Linked DNA regions of Anolis sagrei. The protein of the gene in region 3 purifies or fractionates together with the protein of the main gene of each other region. This does not show direct contact. Links are inferred from orthologs where the notes say so. Each region holds a gene or a part of one and is shown on either strand. Other genes may lie near its edges.

Region 1 (7,400 bases), on a different chromosome or scaffold from region 3:
ATTATCGCGTTATGATTCCACTTGAGTTGCCTTGGTTCCACCCCATAGAATCCTGGGATTTGTAGTTTCACACAATGTTGTCACACAGATGTCTCTAACTCCTAAACGACAAATCCCATTTGAACTGTTATGGATCAATACAGGATTCTATAGGACAGGACCATGGCAGCAAAAGCAGGATCTCAGTGCGATAGCAATTATCGCACTGCACAATTATCGCATGGTGATTCCACTTGAGCTGCCTTGGTCCTACCTTATGGAATCCTGAGATTTGTACCAACTCTGACTTCTAGACTATACATCCCAGGACTCGAAAGGATGGAAGCATGGCAATAGGACGAGAGAAAGCAGAATTTCAATGCGATAGCAATTATCGCACTCCACAATTATTGCGCTGCCTTGGCTCCACCTCATGGATCCTGGGCTTCATACCAGATCTGACTTCTGTACTATAAATCCCAGGACTCACCAGGATGGAAGCACTGTCTACAAATCCCATTTGAACTATTGTGGTTCATTGAAGGGTTCCATAGGACGGGAGGATGGTAGCGAAAGCAGAATTGCAATGCGATAGCAATTATCGCACTCCACAATTATCGCACTGCCTTGGCTCCACCTCATGGATCAGCTCTGACTTCTGTACTATAAATCCCAGGACTCACCAGGATAGAAGAACTGTCTACAAATCCCATTTGAACTATTGTGGTTCAATGAAGGGTTCCATAGGACGGGAGGATGGTAGCGAAAGCAGAATTGCAATGCGATAGCAATTATCGCACTCCATAATTATCGCACTGCCTTGGCTCCACCTCATGGATCCTGGACTTCATACCAGCTCTGACTTCTGTACTATAAATCCCAGGACTCACCAGGATGGAAGGACTGTCTACAAATCCCATTTGAACTATTATGGTTTAGTGAAGGGTTCCATAGGACAAGAGCATGGTAATGAAAGCAGAATTGTAATGCGATAGCAATTATCGCACTGCACAATTATCACACTGCCTTGGCTCCACTTCATGGAATCCTGGGGTTTGTACCAGCTCTGACTTCTGGACTACAAATCCCAGGACTCACCAGGATGGAAGCACTGTTTACAAATCCCATTTGAACTATTGTGGTTCATTGAAGGGTTCCATAGGACGGGAGGATGGTAGCGAAAGCAGAATTGCAATGCGATAGCAATTATCGCACTCCATAATTATCGCACTGCCTTGGCTCCACCTCATGGAATCCTAGGATTTGTGCCAACTCTGACTTGTGGACTACAAATCCCAGGACTTGCCAGGATGGAAGCATGGCAATGAAGGTGGAATAGCAGGACTATAGCACCATCTACAAATTCCATTTGAAATATTATGGTTCAATGAAGGGTTCCATAGGACAAGAGCATGGTAACGAAAGCAGAATTGCAATGCGATAGTAATTATCGCACTGCACAATTATCACACAATCCTGGAATTCGTACCAGCTCTGACTTCTGGACTACAAATCCCAGGACTTGCCAGGGTGGAAGCATGGCAATGAAGGTGGAATAGCATGACTATAGCACCGTCTACAAATCCCATTTGAACTATTATGGCTCAATGAAGGGTTCCATAGGACAAGAGCACAGTAACGAAAGCAGAATTGCAATGCGATAGTAATTATCGCACCGCACAATTATTGCACAATGCTGGGATTCGTACCAGCTCTGATATCTGGACTACAGATCCCAGGACTTGCCAGGATGGAAGCATGGCAAGGAAGGTGGGACAGCAGTGCCGTTACACCACCACATGCATGGGCACCCAGACTCACCGATGGAGACCAGCTTGATGTGCTCCCGGTCGAGGAACTCGAGGGCCACGGAGACGTTCTCCAGCTTCATCTGGCGGAAGTTGGGCCGGGCATGGTACTTGCGGTACATCTTCTTCTGGCTCAGCACCTCGAGGAGGCCAATGAGCTTCAGCCCGTCGCTCAGGTCCTTCTGGAGGTCACCGATGCGCTTGTTGACGCACTTGAGGTGCTCATTGCACCAGCGGGTGAAGGTGTTCTGCTGGATCTTCTTCCAGGGCGCGTCCTCGGCCAGGTCCTTCTCGGTGGCCGGCATCTCGTCCTGCTCCTCGCCTGAGCCATAGGCCGCCGGGGACTGGTCGTAGTAGCTGTTGCTGTTCATGGTTGTGGGTGGATCTAGGTGGACAAGGAAGAGACACCAAGCAGGTCAGAAGATGCTGAAATCGACCAATTCACAGGATGGACAATAATGTATCCAAACAAGGAATCAACCAGCCCAACAGATGGAAAGTACGGTTGAAACCAATCAGCTCAGGAGAGGCTGAAGAGGAGTGGTGGGAAGGAAGGAGTCCAGAGGATGGGTGAAAGTGACCAGCTCAGAAGAGGCTCAAGTGGACACGGCCAGAGGATGGGGACTGAGCAGCTCAGAAGAGGCTGAAGTCCCTCCACTCCCAGAGAAGAGAAACTGATGGATGGGTTGACCCACTCAGACTCAGTTGACCAGAAATCCACCAGCTCAGAAGACACTGAGGTTGATCAGCTCAGAGGAGAGAAACTGACCAGTCCAAAAGACAAGTGACCAGCTCAGATCCTGAAAGGGGACAGCTTCGAGGAGAGAAAGTGACCGGTCCGAAGGGTTTCCCCAGCTGAGAAGATGCTGAAAGTGGAGGGCTGGAAGTGACCCGTTGAGGGGAGGGCTGGAATGGCCCAAATCCTGCGTGGGAAGTTGGCGAAGTCACAGGAGTGGAACTCACCCGAGGAAGGAAGGAAGAGAGAGGCACAAAACAAGCTCTCCAACTTTTCGCAAGTTTCCTGGTCGAAGGGAAAGCGCTCCAAAGGTGTGAGAAAGTCCAGAAAGAGACGCGGAAATCAGGCAGGAACACGAGTGGGGTCCTGGGTTGTCTTTTCCTCTTGGAGAAGGAAGGCAGGCAGGCGAGGAGCCGAGCGAGGGAGCGATGCGCCCTGAGCCGCACGCCGGAGAGTGTCCCTCCGAGGGCCAGGAGGGGCTTTTCTAAGGCGCCCCCTCCCCTCCCCTCCCCTCCTGGGCAGGCCCCTCCCCTCCCACGGACCCCCCCCCCTTCCCCCTTCCCTCTCCCTCCACGTCAGGGCCCAGGACTCCCAGGAATGCCTCCGCTCTGACCATATACAACGAAACGGGGAAGCAGGCGCGCCGGGCTCGGCACCCGCACCCCCACGCGCGCCCCACGCCCCCTCCAAGCCCGGCCTCTCAGATAGACACGCCACTCCGGATTGGGCGCCCGAATGGCCACGGGGTGCCCATTGGATGAGGGTACACCCAGACAGCCCCCTTTTCCCTACCACTCCTTCTCCTCCCTTCTTCCCCTTGAGGATCCCCAAGAGTCACCACCAACTTTGCGCTCAACTTTGCGCCTCTCCACACTCCCAGGCTATTTTTAAGCCTTTCCCTTCGCCACAAAAGAGGGGGGGGGGGGGTCCCAGAGTTGGAGGGTGGAGGGCTTTGGGTCTCGGTTGGGGGGGATGTGGAGGGACAAGCCTGGCCCACAAGCTGGACAATAAGGGACACCAAGAAGAGGAAGACTTTCTCAGCTGGAGGGTCACAATTGCGTCAAAGCGTGACTTGGTCACAATTGCTTCAAAGCCCATTTTGGGGGAATACCAGCCACTTAGAATCCCAGAATCATAGAGTCATAGACTTGGGAGAGAGCCCATGGCTCACCCAGTCCAACCCCTTGCCAGGTAGGAAGGCACCATCAAAGTATCCCCAACAGATGGCCATCCAGCCTCAAAGCTTCCAAGGAAGGAGCTTCCACCAGACTCCCAGGCAGAGAGTTAATCATAGAATCATAGAATCAAAGAGTTGGAAGAGACCTCCTGGGCCATCATCCAGTCCAACCCCATTCTGACAAGAAGCAGGAATATTGCATTCAAATCACCCCTGACAGATGGCCAGCCAGCCTCTGTTTAAAAGCTTCCAAAGAAGGAGCCTCCACCACACTCCCTCCGGGGCAGAGAGTTCCACTGCTGAACGGCTCTCACAGTGAGGAAGTTCTTCCTCGTGTTCAGATGGAATCTCCTCTCTTGTAGTTTGAAGCCATTGTTCCATTGCGTCCTAGTCTCCAGGACAGCAGAAAACAAGCTTGCTCCCTCCTCCTCCCTGTGGCTTCCTGTCATAGAATCATAGAATCATAGAATCAAAGAGTTGGAAGAGACCTCATGGGCCATCCAGTCCAACCCCCTGCCAAGAAGCAGGAATATTGCATTCAAATCACCCCTGACAGATGGCCATCCAGCCTCTTTTTGAAAGCTTCCAAAGAAGGGGCCTCCACCACACTCCGGGGCAGAGAGTTCCACTGCTGAACGGCTCTCACAGTCAGGAAGTTCTTCCTCATGTTCAGGTGGAATCTCCTCTCTTGTAGTTTGAAGCCATTGTTCCATTGCATCCTTGTCTCCAAGGAAGCAGAAAACAAGCTTGCTCCCTCCTCCTCCCTGTGGCTTCCTCTCACATATTTATACATGGCTATCATATCCCCTCTCAGCCTTCTCTTCTTCAGGCTAAACATGCCCAGCTCCTTAAGCCGCTCCTCATAGGGCTTGTTCTCCAGACCCTTGATCATTTTAGTCGCCCTCCTCTGGACACATTCCAGCTTGTCAATATCTCTCTTGAATTGTGGTGCACAGAATTGGACACAATATTCCAGGTGTGGTCTAACCAAAGCAGAATAGAGCACGGGGAGCATGACTTCCCTGGATCTAGACACTATGCTCCTCTTGATGCAGGCCAAAATCCCATTGGCTTTTTTTGCCGCCACATCACATTGTTGGCTCATGTTTAACTTGTTGTCCACGAGGACTTCAACATCTTTTTCACACGTACTGCTCTCAAGCCAGGCATTGTCCCCATTCTGTACCTTTGCATTTTGTTTTTCCTGCCAAAGTGGAGTATCTTGCATTTGTCACTGTTGAACTTCATTTTGTTAGTTTTGGCCCATCATCTCTCTAATCTGTCAAGATCGTTTTGAATCCTGCTCCTGTCCTCTGGAGTATTGGCTATCCCTCCCAATTTGGTGTCGTCTGCAAACTTGATGATCCTGCCTTCTAACCCTTCATCTAAAGCAAAATAATACAACATAAAATCATAAAATAATATTGTTATTTATTTATTTATTTACAGTATTTATACTGCACCCTTCTCACCCCGCAGGGGACTCAAGGCGGATTACAATGTACATGGCAAACATTCAATGCCAAAGACACACAACAGATATAGGCAGACAGTCAGAGGCTATTTAACTTTTCTGGCTGCCAGGAGAGCTGTCGCTTTCATCGTCCATCTGCGACACTGATGAAGTATTTCCGCATTCCCCGCATGCTTTTGCTGGAGTCTTTTTTATGGCCTCATAAATTATTTAAATTAGCTTCTCCATGCATAGGTGGTACCTAAATTTCCTACTTGACAGATGCAACTGTCTTTTGGGTTGCAAAGGTCGACAACAATCTACACAATTGGTCAGAAGCTCACTCCGACCCGGACTGGCTTCGAACTCATGACCTTTTGGTCAGAAGTGATCTTGACAAGCTGGAATGTGTCCAGAGGAGGGCAACTAAAATGATCAAGGGTCTGGAGAACAAGCCCTCTGAGGAGCGGCTTAAGGAGCTGGGCATGTTTAGCCTGAAGAAGAGAAGGCTGAGAGGAGATATGATAGCCATGTACAAATATGTGAGAGGAAGCCACAGGGAGGAGGAGGGAGCAAGCTTGTTTACTGCTTCCCTGGAGACTAGGACGCAGAACAATGGCTTCAAACTACAAGAGAGGAGATTCCATCTGAACATTAGGAAGAACTTCCTGACTGTGAGAGCCGTTCAGCAGTGGAACTCTCTGCCCCGGAGTGTGGTGGAGGCTCCTTCTTTGGAAGCTTTTAAACAGAGGCTGGATGGCCATCCGTCAGGGGTGATTTGAATGCAACATTCTTGCTTCTTGGCAGAATGGGGTTGGACTGGATGGCCCATGAGGTCTCTTCCAACTCTTTGATTCTATGATTCTAACAGTATCTCTTGCTGTTTCTTTGTCAGTGTTGATCTGGAGAGTGTCTGGTTTGCGTACTCTGGAACAGGCAACATATAATTGTCCTTCTTTAAGGGTCTCTTTCAAATCTATGATACTATATATCCGTGTGCATGAATCATATATATCTATCTATATCTATGGCTGGAAGGCTCGTTGTCAGGAGGGCTTTGATTACGTTTTCTTGCCCTGGTGAAGGGAGTTGGCTTGGATGACGTTAAGTATTTTCTGTTGGTCATGGCGGTTCTTTGTGTCAAGTTTGACCCAATTCTGTCGTTGGTGGGGTTCAGAATGCTCTTTGATTGTAGGTGAACTATAAATCCCAGCAACTACAACTCCCAAATGTCAGGATTCTATTTTCCCCGAACTCCATCAGTGTTCACATTTGGGCATATTGAGTATTCTTGTAGAGTTTGCTCCAGATCCATCATTGTTTGAGTCCGCAGTGCTCACTGGATGTAGGTAAACTACAACTCCAAAACCAAAGGACACTGCCCACCAAACCCTTCCAGTATTTTGTGTTGGTAATGGGAGTTCTGTGTGCCAAGTTTGGTTCAATTCTATCGTTGGTGGGGTTCAGAATGCTCTTTGATTGTAGGTGAACTATAAATCCCTGCTACTACAACTCCCAAATGTCAAGGTCTATTTCCCGCAAACTCCATCTATGTTCATATTTGGGCATATGGAATATTCGTGTCAAGTGTTTGAATCCACAGTGCTCTCTGGATGCAGGTGAACTACAACTCCCAAAGTCAAGGTCAATGCCCACCAAACCCTTCTAGTGTTTTCTGTAAGTCATGGGAGTCCTGTGTGTCACCTTTGGTTCAATTCCATCATTGGTGGAGTTCAGATTGTAGGTGAACTATAAATCCCAAGAACTACAACTCCCAAATGACAAAATAAAAAAAATGAGTGAAGGACATACATTGGGTTGTTAGGTGTCTTGTGTCCAAATTTGGTGTCAATTCACCCACTGGTTTTTGGGTTCTGTTAATCCCACAAACGGACATTACATTTTTATTTATATAGACCAGTGGTTCTCAACCTTCCTAATGCCGCGACCCCTTAGTACAGGTCCTCACATTGTGGTGACCCCCAACCATAACGTTATTTTCGTTGCTACTTCTTTAATTTTGCTCCTGTTATGAATCATAATATAAATATCTGATATGCAGGATGTATTTTCATTCACTGGACCAAATTTGGCACAAATACCTTAAACGCCCAAATTTGAATACTGGTGAGGTTGGAGGGGGTTGATTTTGTCATTTGGGAATGTTGGAGTTGCTGGGATTTATAGTTCACCTAAAATCAAAGAGCCTTCTGAACTCCACCAATGATGGAATTGAATCAAACTTGG
Region 2 (7,532 bases), on a different chromosome or scaffold from region 3:
TTTTGGAAGTTGAAGACATCTGGGGACTCACAGGTTGAGAACCACTGCTCTAGGACCTTTTCCACACTGCTGTGCAAAATACAGATCACCTGCTTTGAACTGGATTATATGACAGTGTAGACTCATATAATTCAGTTCAAAGCAGATCATGCAGATGATCCGCTATGGATTATATGGCAGTGTAGAAGGGGCCTGAAGCTCTCTCCTCCTTTCACTTTCAGACTCCCATCCTTCCCTTTCTGTGGGTCTTGTATGCATCCCTTCTCTTCCTTTGACAGCTTCTCTTGCTTCCTCCATCGCGGGGGTTTCCTTCCTCCCCTTCCACACAGCCCTATATCCTGGAATATCAAGGCAGAAAATCTCACAATATCTGCTTGGGAACTGGGTGGGTTATCTGAGTCCACACTCAGATAATGTGGGATTTTCTGCCTTGCTATTCTAGGATATAGGGCTGTGTGGAAGAGCCCTGAGTGTGGACTCAGATAACCCAGTTCAAAGCAAATACTGTGGGATTTTCTGGGATATGGGGCTGTGTGGAAGAGCCCTGAGTATGTACTCAGATAACCCAGTTCAAAGCAGATATTGTGGGATTTTCTGCCGATATTCTGGAGCTGTGTGGAAGAGCCCTGAGTGTGGACTCATATAACTCATTTCAAAGTAGATATTGTGGGATTTTCTGCCTTGATATTCTGGGGCTGTGTGGAAGAGCCCTGAATGTGGACTCAGATATCCCAGTTCAAAGCAGATATTGAGGGGTTTTCTGCCTTAATATCCTGGGATACAGGGCTGGGTGGAAGAGCTTCGAGTGTGGACTCATATAACTTAGTCCAAAGCAGATATTGTGGGATTTTCTGCCTTGATATTCTGGGGCTGTGTGGAAGAGCTTCGAGTGTGGACTCAGATAACTTAGTCCAAAGCAGATATTGTGGGATTTTCTGCCTTGATATTCTGAGATATAGGACTGTGATATTCTGGGATATTGATATTGAGCCCTGAGTGTGGATTCAGATAACCCAGTTCAAAGCAGATATTGTGGGATTTTCTGCCTTGATCTTCTGGGATATGGGGCTGTGTGGAAGAGCCCTGAGTGTGGACTCAGATAACTAATTTCAAAGCAGATATTGTGGGATATTCTGCCTTGATGTTCTGAGATATAGGACTGTGATATTCTGGGATATTGATATTCTGGGATATTGATATTGAGCCCTGAGTGTGGACTCAGATAACCCAGTTCAAAGCAGATATTGGGGGATTTTCTGCCTTGATGTTCTGAGATATAGGACTGTGATATTCTGGGATATTGATATTCTGGGATATTGATATTGAGCTCTGAGTTTGGACTCAGATAACCCAGTTCAAAGCAGATATTGTGGGATTTTCTGCCTTGATCTTCTGGGATATGGGGCTGTGTGGAAGAGCCCTGAGTGTGGACTCAAATAACCCAGTTCAAAGCAGATATTGGGGGATTTTCTGCCTTGATCTTCTGGGATATGGGGCTGTGTGGAAGAGCCCTGAGTGTGGACTCAGATAACCCAGTTCAAAGCAGATATTGGGGGATTTTCTGCCTTGATCTTCTGGGATATGGGGCTGTGTGGAAGAGCCCTGAGTGTGGACTCAGATAACTAATTTCAAAGCAGATATTGTGGGATATTCTGCCTTGATGTTCTGAGATATAGGACTGTGATATTCTGGGATATTGATATTCTGGGATATTGATATTGAGCCCTGAGTGTGGACTCAGATAACCCAGTTCAAAGCAGATATTGGGGGATTTTCTGCCTTGATGTTCTGAGATATAGGACTGTGATATTCTGGGATATTGATATTCTGGGATATTGATATTGAGCTCTGAGTTTGGACTCAGATAACCCAGTTCAAAGCAGATATTGTGGGATTTTCTGCCTTGATCTTCTGGGATATGGGGCTGTGTGGAAGAGCCCTGAGTGTGGACTCAAATAACCCAGTTCAAAGCAGATATTGGGGGATTTTCTGCCTTGATCTTCTGGGATATGGGGCTGTGTGGAAGAGCCCTGAGTGTGGACTCAAATAACCCAGTTCAAAGCAGATATTGGGGGATTTTCTGCCTTGATCTTCTGGGATATGGGGCTGTGTGGAAGAGCCCTGAGTGGGGACTCAAATAACCCAGTTCAAAGCAGATATTGGGGGATTTTCTGCCTTGATCTTCTGGGATATGGGGCTGTGTGGAAGAGCCCTGAGTGTGGACTCAGATAACCCAGTTCAAAGCAGATATTGTGGGATTTTCTGCCTTGATCTTCTGGGATATGGGGCTGTGTGGAAGAGCCCTGAGTGTGGACTCAAATAACCCAGTTCAAAGCAGATATTGGGGGATTTTCTGCCTTGATCTTCTGGGATATGGGGCTGTGTGGAAGAGCCCTGAGTGTGGACTCAAATAACCCAGTTCAAAGCAGATATTGGGGGATTTTCTGCCTTGATCTTCTGGGATATGGGGCTGTGTGGAAGAGCCCTGAGTGTGGACTCAGATAACCCAGTTCAAACTTGGAAGGGCCCCAAGTTTCTTTTCTGCTCCATCCTTCCCATCTTCATCATCCTCCCCTATTTCCCTTTCTGTCTGACTTTTCCCCTTTTTGTGACTCTCCTCCTTCTGCGTCCAGTTAATGCCAGGCTCCCTCTCATTCTCTCTCTGCAGACCTCTCCATCCCAACTCTTGGGGAGACCCAGCCTTGCTTCCTTCCTTCTTTCCCTTCCTTCCTTCCTTCCTTTCTCCCTTCCAGGCTCCCTTGCTCACCTCTCCGGGCGGGTGCAGCGGGTGCTGGGCTCGGCGTGGGGTGCCTCCTGCCCTGCCTGGGCTCGGGACGGGGGTCTTTGGGTCGGGAAGGAGAAGAGGAGGAGGATGCTGCTGCTGCGTCTCGGGTGGGAGCCGGGCTCGGACTGGCCGGGCGGCGGGGGGCGGCGGGTGGACACCGGCCGGGCGGGCGGCTCAGCAAGCCTTAATTGGTAAAGAGCAGGCTCGGAGGGAGGAGAGAAGGAGGGAGGGGAGGCAGCAGATACAGGGAAGGAAGGAAGGAAGGAAGGAAGGAAGGAAGGAAAGAGAGAGGGAGAGAAGGAGGACCGGCCCAGACACCGCCCCCGGGGATGAGTGCAGGCAGCGCCTCCACACCGGGGTAGAAAGTGCCCCTCTTTCCCTCTTGCTTTGGACGAGGAAACTTACGATTTTTCCCTCTAGGGGGCGCCCTTTGCATCGGTGAATGGACAACTCCCTGCAGGGAATCAAGGAGGCACCGCATTGCCCTCCGCCAGGGGGCGCCAGGCAGGAACTCTGTTTAGGGATGGCCAAGGCGCTCCATGCAGTCATGCCGGCCACATGACCTTGGAGGTGTCTGTGGACAACGCCGGCTCTTCGGCTTAGAAATGGAGATGAGCACCACACCCCAGAGTCAGACATGACTGGACTTCATGTCAGGGGACACCATTTATCTTTTAAAGGCCCCTTCCAATCTGCTGAATAAAATCCCACATTTTCTGCTTTGAACTACACTATATGGCAGTGTGGACTCAGGGCCCTTCCACCCAGCCCTATATCCTAGAATATCAAGGCAGAAAATCCCACAATATCTGCTTTGAACTGGGTTATCTTATTTATTTACTAGCTTGGGGATCCAGCACTGCCCTGGTTATTTGAGAAAGGAATTGTGTCTCAAGGTTGGTCTTTATCAGTTATTTATATGGCTCGCAGTGGTCTCAGGAAGTTAGTGAAGGTACTGCGAGTCCCATAATCTGTGGTCCATCCTCCTCCAAATTGCACCAGGATGGAGAGTGGGTCATGGGGGCTCTGTGTGCCAAGTTTGGTCTTGATCAGTCATTGGATGAGGGTCATTGCCAGAAGGGACAGAGAGTTTCATCTATGCTGATGATCGTGCCATTACTGCTCAAGCAGGGAACTTTGAGATGGTAGAACAGAAGCTCTCCGAAGCTCTAGGTGCTCTTACTGCCTGTTACAGGGAGAACCACCTGATCCCCAACCCATCCAAAACACAGACATGTGCCTTTCGTCTCAAGAACAGAGAAGCATCTCGAGCTCTGAAGATCACCTGGGAAGGAATCCCACTGGAGCATTGCAGCGCACCCAAATACCTGGGAGTCACTCTGGACCGTGCTCTTACCAACAAGAAGCACTGCCTGAACATCAAGCAAAAAGTCGGTGCTAGAAACAATATCATACGAAAGCTGACTGGCACAACCTGGGGATCACAACCAAATACAGTGAAGACATCTGCCCTTGCGCTGTGCTACTCTGCTGCTCAGTATGCATGCCCAGTGTGGAACACATCTCACCACACTAAAACAGTGGATGTGGCTTTTAATGAGACATGCCGCATTATCACAGGGTGTCTGCGCCCTACACCACTGGAGAAATTACACTGCTTAACCGGTATAGCACCACCCGACATCCGCCGGGAAGTAGCAGCCAATAGTGAAAGGACCAAGGCAGAAACATCTCCAGCTCATCCCCTGTTTGGGTATCAGCCAGCACATCAACGACTAAAATCAAGACATAGTTTTCTTAGATCTACAGAGACACTCACTGGAACACCTCAGCAAGCAAGAGTCCAAAAGTGGCAGGCTCAAACCCAGCACCTCAACCAATGGCTGATACCAAATGAGAGACTCCCCCTCCCCCCCAGGGCTGTAGCCAGAAAAAAAATTCGGGAGGGGTTGAAATTTTCAGGGGGGGTTGAAATTTTCGTGGGGGGGGGGTTGAAACCTGCCTCCTAGCTCACGCTGAAGCAAAGAGCACAGCAGGGGCAGAGCAGCCTTCAGTAGCCTGTCAACCACCTCCACCAAGTCTGGCCTCCTTAATGAGAGCATTCAACACACACACCCCCAACTTGGTTGCTTCACTACATCGCCTATTGCTGCAAGTAATGACAGTGTGAATAAATTGTCAATATTTGCCTGAGATAGTGCTTGCAGTTCTGGAGCGACTTAATTTTTTTGCATCTCATAGACTTAGCATGGGGATTTGGTTAACCAATTAAAATTCATGAGTAAAACAGGTTTTTTTAAAAAAATCTGAAACATTTCGGGGGGGGGGGTTGAACCCCTAAAACCACCCCCTCACTACAGGCCTGCTCCGCCCTGGGAACACAGAGGACTGGGCGACTTGGAAGGCGCTGAACAGACTGCGCTCTATCTTGAGCCAATATACTTTAAGAGAGAGAACTCAGATCTCTTTCCCTACTCCAACCTTTGGCTAGAGCTTGGAAACGTTCCTTAGAGTAAAAGTAACTCTCTCCAAATTCTGACTTTGCAGGACATTTACTTGGTCACATGGATGGGATGAGAAGCTGTTTGATTAACTTAGTACTCAGACAAGACAAGAGTACTAAAAGATCAATAATAGGCCTAGGAAGGCAGGAAGAATAGGGTTGAGGGACATGGGGTAGGAAACAGAAGAAGGCATGCTAGGAAGTGGCAGGAAATGAGGAATTGCAGGCAATGGGTTTGGAGCGATAAGTGGCTGGTGGGCATTGCCACAGCCATAGCTGCAGAGCAAGTGTCTTACTTGATAAGGAGAGAAGGGTACAGCTATCTTCTCATAAGCCATTCCACAAATGCAGAACTTTGGACTTTCCACATCTTTTAACCTATTCCCAGCCAGTGGTTGCAAGGGTTTCTTGTTGTTGGGTGCCTTCAAGTCATTTCCAACTTATGGCCATCCAAAGCTGAACCTATCATGGTTTTTCGGGTCTGAAAGTGTTTCACGTGTTCAGAGTTATGCAATAGTTTCCATGGCCAACTGTATTGAACCCCGTTTTCCAGTGTTGTAGTCTGCAACAAAGATGGAGGACAAACAACAAGGACTGGACCAGGCGAGGCCGTGTGGAACAAGAGACACGCACATTCTTTCTTCTTTTTCTTCTTCTTAGGCGATCCCTAGTTGGCCGAGTAGGATAGTCTTCCAGGATCAGTATTCTGGTGGGTCCGTAGGTGACTGTGGAGCCCTATTCTTGATCTGCATCTTCTCCCACAGTGAGGGCATCGGTTTCCAGGTAGAAGGTGGTCTCAGTCCGCGTTGGATTGACGTGTCTTCCTCTTGGCACGTTTCTCTCTTTCACCCTCCATTCATGCCTCTTCAAATTCTGCAGCACTGCTGGTCACAGCTGACCTCCAGCTGGAGCGCTCACGGGCCAGAGCTTCCCAGTTCTCAGTGTCTATGCCAGAGTTTTTAAGGTTGGCTTCCTCACTACTTCTGAGGATGCTTGCCATAGATGCAGGTGAAACGTCAGGAGAAAATGCCTCTAGAACATGGCCATATAACCCAAAAAAACCCCTACAACAACCCAGTGATTCCGGCCATGAAAGCCTTCGACAATATATTTATTATTTACTGTATTTGTATACCACCTTTCTCAGCCCGTAGGTGACTCAAATTAATGTAATTTTATTGATATCTATTTTTATTTTGAAATTGAATAGTAGCTGCTGCATTTTCCACCCTTGGCTTATACTTGAGTCAATACGTTTTCACAGGTTTTTGTGGTAAAATTAGGTGCCTTGGCTTATATTCGGGTTGGCTTATACTCGAGTATATACGGTAGTTGTTATACATTTATAAAATAATAAATTTTATTTTTACCCCGCCCCCTCTCCCCAAAGGGACTCAGGAGGCTTACAACAAGCAATAATACAAATATATAAGCAATACATTATAAACAACGATATCAAAAACAATGATCTTTAGTACAATTTAAATACTATAAGTATTAATAAATAACAATTTAAAAGCTATTTGCCCTGTAAAAACAATCTAAGTATATATCTTGTTATATTCGAGAAACTTCATTTTTGTGATTGCCACAAACTATGTTGAATTGGTTGTGATTTGATGAGATATTCATTGAAAAACTATAGCAGAATGTCCTACGGGATGTCCCACAAAAACAAAGTTTTTGCAGTTCAATAAACTTTATGATAGAACCAATTAGGAAATGACATTTATAACCCAGGAACAAAAATAGTTTTACATAGTGTTATCAATGGATCACTTATGGTATAACAAAAAGCATCCCATATTCTGTTCAGTAAAGACTTAGACTTATTTTAGCATGTATGGGTTATATTTGAGACAGATGGGCTTATTAAAGCAGAATTTTTGCTAGCAGTTCTTCTGGCTGGTGCCTGTTGAGTGAAGGATCCAGGAATCATCACACAAGTTGCCCAAGATATTTTGGTGTCTAAATGGCAAAACCCAAGTGATATTACTCTCTCCAGGAATCATGGTAGAAATCACTAGGGAAGGGCTGTAATTTAGTGGCAGAGTACTTGTCTTCCTTGCATAAGGTGTAAGATTCAATCTCTGCTGTGAAAAGACCTTTTCCTGAACCCCTGGAGAACAAGTACCAGTTATTTTGGAGACTACCATGAGCTACATGGATGAATTATAGGAGGCAGTTGATTTAACTTGGGAAAGTGACTTCTTTGGGTGACAATTCCCAAAATTGCCAATGAATGCGTAGTTCCAAAAAACAATTTTCCCAGGCTCTGCAGTT
Region 3 (7,331 bases):
AGAGACGGGCAGCATGCCTTCCTAGTTTCCCTGATGGACTGTGATGTCATTGCCACTCATTTTGAAAGTATCCCTTTCCTAGAGATGCCAAACTTGTCAGGACAGTTGCCAGGAGACAGCAAATGTTGAGGATTACTTTAGCACTGAATCATTCACAAATATATCTGAAGGGGAATATAATGTCATGATGTGTTTTGAATGAAGTCACAACAAGTTTCAATTTTGATTCCTTAAAGATTATAACATGTGTAATACTTCCCAAGGTTAAAAAACATATACATCATCAGATAGATGTCTTTTTTCAAGATATAAAAACAATCTATTTTTAGAAGATTTCTAATTTCTTTGATTTAGCATCTACCTTTGTTCCAAATAACTTGGTAACCAAAAAACACCTAACTTCCAGTTTGTTTTCCTGCTGAAATTTCTCCCAATGTGTTAGAACTAATCTATGTGTCTAATGAAATGTATTCCACAATTTCAAAGGATGTGAGGAAAGGAAACAACATTTTTTAAAAAGAAACAATTCATAAGTTAGTTAAGATAATTCCTCTTAAACAATCTACTTGTGTGTGTGTCAGGAGCAACTTGAGAAAAACTGCAAGTCACTTCTCGTGTGAGAGAATTGGCCGTCTGCAAGGACCTTGCCCAGGGGACGCCCGGATGTTTGATGTTTTACCATCCTTGTGGGAGGCTTTGCTCATGTCCCCACATGGGGAGCAGGAGCTGACAGAGGGAGCTCATCCATGCTCTCCCCAGATTCGAACTTCCAACCAGTCGGTCTTCAGTCCTGCCAGCACAAGGGTTTAACCCATTGCATCACCAGGGGCTCCTAAACAATCTACTAATATTATGTAATAACGAAAACATATACGAAGGTTATCCTGAAAGTAAGGTTACAAGATTTTTTAAAAAATACAAAGAATGAATATATTTTAATAAAACTTGCATGGGTTGTAGCCAGGCCCGTAGCCAGGATTTCGTTTCGGGGGGGGGGGGGGGGGGGGGCTAAAGTTTTTTTCAGGAGGGGGTTGGGGGGGCTGAGTTTCGGGGGGGGGGCTGAGTCTCAGTTAAAGAGGGTCTAGCTTAGCAAACCTTTTGTATCATTACCCCAATACCCCCATGCATATGGGATAAAATGAGTATGGTGATCAGATCATGATATGAATAAACATAACAGTTTAAATAATGCACCAATAAGGCCTTTTTGCGAACCACCATGAAAATTTCGAGGGGGGGGGGGGCTGAAGCCCCCCGAGCCCCCCCCCCCCCCGGCTACATGCCTGGTTGTAGCATAGGTATTACATTATTTTTCCACATAATCACCATTTAGTTCAATACATTTTGTCATCCGTGGGACGAGTTTTTGATGCCTGTGTCATAGAAGTTTCCCTCTTCCTTTTTCAGTCAGTTTGTCACTTCGATTTTCACCTCATGAGAGAAGGAAAAATGTTTTTCACCAAGGCGTTCCTTCAATTTAGTGAACAGATGATAGACACTGGGTGCAAGATCAAGGACGTGGGAGGGGTGGTTTAAAACATCCCAACCAAATTAAGTCAACAACTCTTGTATTGCATGAGCTATGTGCGAATGCGCACTGTCATGAAAGAGACAAGACTCCCACTGTCAGCATCCCACGACCTTTGTTTTGGATGGCTCTGCAAAGTTTCATGGTCTCACAATATATTCAGTACCCATTTTGCCACATGCTGTCTTGACATTATGTCATCTCCATAAACTGAAACGGTTTTGTGATGAATCACAGCGGTGGTCATGCCCTTAGCATTTAGATAGCATATTACAGCACAAACTTTGCACTGGGAGGGAAACAGAATGAGGACGCTCATCTCTAACCTTCACAATGTCAGTCGATGAGCTACTAACGACTGGCACTGCTCATTCACTTCCACTGGCTTCCTGCTACACAGCAGTGATACCAACTTCCCCTGAAAAAATTCCCCGCGAGAGCTACATGCCTTGGAACCTTACTTTCTGATAACCCTCGTATTAAGAGGGAAAGTAGGAAGGAGGCTACTCCTTCTGGACAACTCCCATCAATAAAAAAAGATGTCCAGAACTACAACCATGTTAGTCTATTGAAGTAAAACCAAAATGTGCATACGTCTCAATGATTTGTGCTTACCCCAAAAGTATAGTTGAATCCTAACAAATTTATAGCGCAAAAACCTTCATTGGGAGCTTGGTTTACATCACAACAAAATTACACTGGAGAGAATATTCAACAGACACATGTCTATTAATACATTACTGATGTAAAATCTGTAACTTGATTCAGGAACAACACAGTAAATCCAACTAGGAATGATTAACATGTTAACTATGCCATTTTCATTCCTGTTATCACTGGAGAAGTAGCTTATAATCAAAGACAGATAGCAGTTAAAACTGGTTTTGTAGCCACAATTGGTAGCTACCAACTGTTGGTTTGACGGTGTTTCAAGTTTTATAATGTTAGATACCATATTTCAGGTTTTTTGGGCTCATTGGTTATTCTTTGTGTGTTTTTGTTAAGTATCTATGATGTAAATCCAAATGACTGGGCTACAGTAAACTGATTTAATCAATGCTTACTTGGAAACTCAACAGATGTGTAAATTCCAGTTATTCCATGAATGTACTGCAATTGAGACTACCAATTGCATCCAGATCAATATGCCTTTTTACATATTTTTTTTCATTAGCAGCATTGGGTGGGGAAAGTCAATATACATAGTGCTTGCCTCTTTTTTCACCTTGGATAGAAGGGTCCTCAGCTCAAAAAAAAAAGCTGGGTTGCAGTTAGACATAAAAAAATCCAATATTATGGCAACCAGACTGATCGATAACTGGCAAATAGGGGGAGAAAATGTGGAGGAAGTGACAGGCTTTGTATTTCAAGGTGCAAAGATTACTGCAGACACAGACTGCAGCCAAGAAATCAGAAAACGTTTACTTCTTGGGAGGAGAGCAATGACCAATCTCGATAAAATAGTGAAGAGTAGAGACATCACACTGGCAACGAAGATCCGCATAGTTAATGGTATTCCCCATAGTCACCTATGGACATGAGAGCTGGACCATAAGAAAGGCTGAGCGAAGGAAGATAGACACTTTTGAACTGTGGTGTTGGAGGAAAATTCTGAGAGTGCCTTGAACCGCGAGAAGATCCAACCAGTCCATACTTCAGGGAATGAAGCCCGACTGCTCATTGGAGGGAAGGATATTAGAGGCAAAGATGAAGGACTTTGGCCACATAATGAGGAGACAGGAAAGCTTGGAGAAGACAATGATGCTGGGGAAAAAGGAAGGAAAAAGGAAGAGGGTCTGACCAAGGGCAAGATGGATGGATGGCATCCTTGAAGTGACTGGATTGACCTTGAAGGAGCTGGGGGTGGTGACAGCCAACAGGGAGCTCTGGCGTGGGCTGGTCCATGAGGTCACAAAGAGTCAGAAACAACTGACCGAATGAACAACAACAACATTATTATTATTACTGTAAGAGAAAATCCACCTTTAATAATAATAATAATAAAATTATATCATAATAATTAATCAATATATAATACCAAAACAATAAACATGGCTCTATCGCCCGAAAAAACCCACAAGAACCTAGTAATACCAATAGGGTACACATATAATAATGCATATTATAATATATATATATATATATATATATATATATATATAAAACAATAAATAATCAAACAATAAATAAACAGGGTTACTGTGAGTTTTTGGGACTGTATGGCCATGTTCCATAAGCATTCTCTCCTGACATTTCTCCCACATCTATGGCAGGCATGCGCAGAGATTGTGAGGCCTGTTGGAAACTGGGCAAGTGAGGGTTATACATCTGTGGAATGTCCAGGGTGGGAGAAAGACCAAGGGCAAGATGGATGGATGGCATCCTTGAAGTGACTGGACTGACCTTGAAGGAGCTGGGGGTGGTGACGGCCGACAGGGAGCTCTGGCGTGGGCTGGTCCATGAGGTCACGAAGAGACGACTGAACGAATGAACAACAACAATCCTTGGTGGGGTTCAAGGCGATCTTTGATTGTAGGTGAACTATAAATCCCGGGGGGGGGGGGTGAACCTCTAACCATCCTCCTCTTCTTGCCTACAGCTGTGTTTGTATGGCCCTGAATTTTGGAGGCCCATGGCAATCTGTGAGCCTGTTCCTCCAGTCCTGGCGCCTCCAAGGAAGGAAGGAAGCGAACAGGAAGGAAGTAGGGAAGCGGGCAGGGCAGGCCTCCCCTTAGCTGACACGGGGGAGGAGAGGCCCCGCCCCTCCGCGCGCCAGGCCACGCCCCCTCCTCCTCCTCCTCCTTTCCAGCGTGGGGAAGTAAACAAGGCCCAGCCCTTCCACTTCCCAGGAGGGAGGGGGTGAGGAGGGAGGGAGGGAGGAGTTGTGGCGCAGCAGGAATTCCCGCTCGGGCGCGGCCTGAGGGAAGGCACGAAGGGGAGGAGGGAGGGCGGCGGTTGGCGGTCCGGAGGGTGATGCGCGCGGCTATTTCGGAGCGGAGGCCTGACCCTTGTCGGCGGGCGGCGAGGAGGGGCCGCGCTCTGGCCTTGGCCCGGCCTCCCCCCGCGGGCCGCCGGGGCCTATAAAGCAGCCGCAGCAGCAGCAAGGAGGATGCAGCTCTTCAGCACCGCCGTCGCGCACTACCCGCCGCCCGCCACCCCCAACGCAGCCTCAGCAGGAGGAGGAGGAGGAGGAGGAGGAGGAGGGAGCCCCAGCGCGGACAGCGGGCCCAGCGCCGCCTTCAAGGCCTCTGCGGAGGGCGCAGCGGAAGGGGAGAGCCACCCCTCGAGAGGAGACTCCTCCGCCATTATGCCCGCCTTCTCCTGCTTGGAGCTGCTCCCCGCGGCGCAGAGGAAGCCCAACATGGTGCGCCGCCGGCCTCTGGACCCCTCCTGGCTGCCCCTCGAGAGCGGAGGAGAGGGTGCCGTTCCCGCTCCAGCAGCAGCAGCAGCAGCGTCTGGAGGGCCTGCCTTCCCGCCCCAGCCGGAGCCTAGCAACCGCGGCCTGCGCTTCAGCGAGCACTGCCAGGCTTTGCAAGCGGCGGCCTCAGCGGAGGACCGGGCCGCGCACCCGGAGGCCGCCTCTCCGCCCTCGAAGCTGGCGCTGTACTTGGCCGAGGTGGAGAAGCAGGACAAGTACCTCCGTCAGCAGGGCCGCTTCCGCTTCCACATCATCCCGGACGGGAACTGCCTCTACCGCGCGGTGTGCCAGGCCGCCCACGGGGAGCAGCGCCGCCACGGGGAGCTCCGCGAGCAGACCGTGCACTACATCGCCGACCACCTGGAGCACTTCGGCGCCCTCATCGAAGGCGACGTGGGCGAGTTCCTGGTCAACGCGGCGCAGGACGGCGCCTGGGCCGGGTACCCGGAGCTGCTGGCCATGGGGCGCATGCTGGGCCTGGCCGTGCGCCTCACCACGGGCGGCCGGCCCGAGAGCCCCACCGTGGCCACCATGGAGCACGCCCTGCCCGGCTGCCTCGGCCACCAGCCCCGCCGCAGCGGCGGCACCATCTGGCTCAGCTGGCTCAGCAGCGGGCACTACGACGCCGTGCTCGACCGCCCCGCCCCCAACCCCGAGTACGAGGCCTGGTGCCGGCAAGCCCAAGCCCAGCGCCGCCGCGACGAGGAGCTCGCCAAGGCCATGGCGCTCTCGCTCTCCCGGATGTACCTCGAGCAGGGCCAGGGAAGGGGCGCCGCCGCCGGGTCCTGACTCCCAAGGCCAGGCCGGGAGGGAGGGAGAGAAGGGCTCGCCCTGGACGCCTTAAGACTTTCTGAGGGACCAGCCCAGGCTGACTGAACTCTGTGCAGGACTGGGCAAACTTGGGCCCTCCCTCTAGGTGGGCTGGACTCCAACGCCCACTATTCCCAACAGCCTCAGTCCCTTCCCTTTAATTTCCAAACATCTAAAGCAGACTTGGGCAAATTTGGGCCCTCCAGATGTTTTGGACTCCAAAGCCCACCAATCCCAACAGCCTCTGTCCCTTCCCTTTAATTTCCAAACACCTGGGCAAACTTGGGTCCTCCAGATATTTTGGATTCCAACCCACACAATTCCCAACAGCCTCAGGCCCTTCCCTTTAGTTTCCAAACTTCTAAAGCAGGCCTGGGCAAATTTGGACCCTCCCTCTAGGTGGTTTGGACTCCAACTCCCACCATACCTATCAGTCTCACCCCCCCCCCCCCCCCGTTAGATTCCAAACATCTAAAGCTGGCATGGGCAACCTTGGACTCTCAAGGTGTTTTGGACTCCAAATCCCACCAATCCCAACAGCCGCTGTCCCTTCCCTTTAATTTCCAAACACCTGGGCAAACTTGGGCCCTCAAGGTGTTTTAGACTCCAAATCCCACCAATCCCAACAGCCTCGGTCCCATCCCTTTAATTTCCAAACATCTAAAGCAGGCCTGGGCAAACTTGGCCCCTCGAGGTGTTTTGGACTCCCAAATCCCACCATTCCAAACAGCCCTTTAGTTTCCAATCATCTAAAGCAGGCCTGGGCAAACTTGGACCCTCGAAATGTTTTGGGCTCCAACTCCCACCATTCCCAACAGCCTCAGCCCCCTCCCTTTTGATTCCAAAAATCAAAAGCAGGCATGGACAAACTTAGGCCCTCCAGATATTTTGGACGTCAACTCCCACCATTCCTAACAGCTTCAGGCCTCTTCAGCGGCTGAGGGGGAAAAGGAAAGGGCCTGAGGCTGTTAGGAATGGTGGGAGTTGACGTCCAAAACACCTCGAGAGCCCAAGTTTGCCATGTCTGATCTAAAGCCTAAAAACTTTTTCTGGGGTTGGTATATCTTTGCCCTACAGAAGTTAAATGAATGGGAATACTTTTTCAATGCCATGGGTGTACATTTTCAATGCCATGGATGTAGACATCACGTCTTCCAAATCTGAAGAATGTGGGAAGAGCTTTTCTTCTCCCTGAAGCTCTGCACGTCCTCTAAAATCTGCTTAAGGCAGTGGTTCCCAACCAAGGCTTCAAGGTGTTTTGGACTACCAAACCCCAGAAATCCTAGCCTTTTTACCAGCAGTTAGGATTTCTGGGAGTTGAAGGCCAAAACATCTGGGGACCCAAAAGGTTGAGAACCACTGGCTTAAGGATTCCTCCCCAAGCATCAAGCAGACTTTGTTTTTTAAATGTGTTCCCTAATTAAAGCATTCAAATACAGGGCAGATTAAATTTTCATCAAGGTCTGAAACGTACACTTTCTGTGCAGGAAGGAGAACATCCCCACAAACAAATTGGCTTTTCCTATCCTAGAATTAAATTGATATATTTTCAAAGCCCCCAAAAAAGAGACCTGA

What was found. The genes of interacting proteins can lie anywhere in the genome.
Region 1: the proteins of OTUD1 (region 3) and FLNC purify together in Homo sapiens (affinity purification with mass spectrometry; 3 studies listed by BioGRID and IntAct, with this or other methods). This does not show direct contact. The link is inferred for Anolis sagrei from reciprocal best matches to the Homo sapiens genes OTUD1 and FLNC.
Region 2: the proteins of OTUD1 (region 3) and FLNA purify together in Homo sapiens (affinity purification with mass spectrometry; 3 studies listed by BioGRID and IntAct, with this or other methods). This does not show direct contact. The link is inferred for Anolis sagrei from reciprocal best matches to the Homo sapiens genes OTUD1 and FLNA.

Annotation. Positions count from the first base shown.
Region 1 is NC_090025.1:195,929,092-195,936,491, reverse strand, and holds the start of FLNC (filamin-C), read right to left. Parts: upstream 3,008-7,400; 5' UTR 2,751-3,007; exon of another isoform or gene 2,173-2,750; 5' UTR 2,159-2,172; coding exon 1,801-2,158; intron 1-1,800.
Region 2 is NC_090022.1:176,930,166-176,937,697, forward strand, and holds the start of FLNA (filamin-A), read right to left. Parts: upstream 3,008-7,532; 5' UTR 2,768-3,007; intron 1-2,767. UniProt on the Homo sapiens protein: Promotes orthogonal branching of actin filaments and links actin filaments to membrane glycoproteins. Anchors various transmembrane proteins to the actin cytoskeleton and serves as a scaffold for a wide range of cytoplasmic signaling proteins.
Region 3 is NC_090026.1:108,588,625-108,595,955, forward strand, and holds the start of OTUD1 (OTU domain-containing protein 1), read left to right. Parts: upstream 1-4,320; 5' UTR 4,321-4,637; coding exon 4,638-5,735; 3' UTR 5,736-7,331. UniProt on the Homo sapiens protein: Deubiquitinating enzyme that specifically hydrolyzes 'Lys-63'-linked polyubiquitin to monoubiquitin.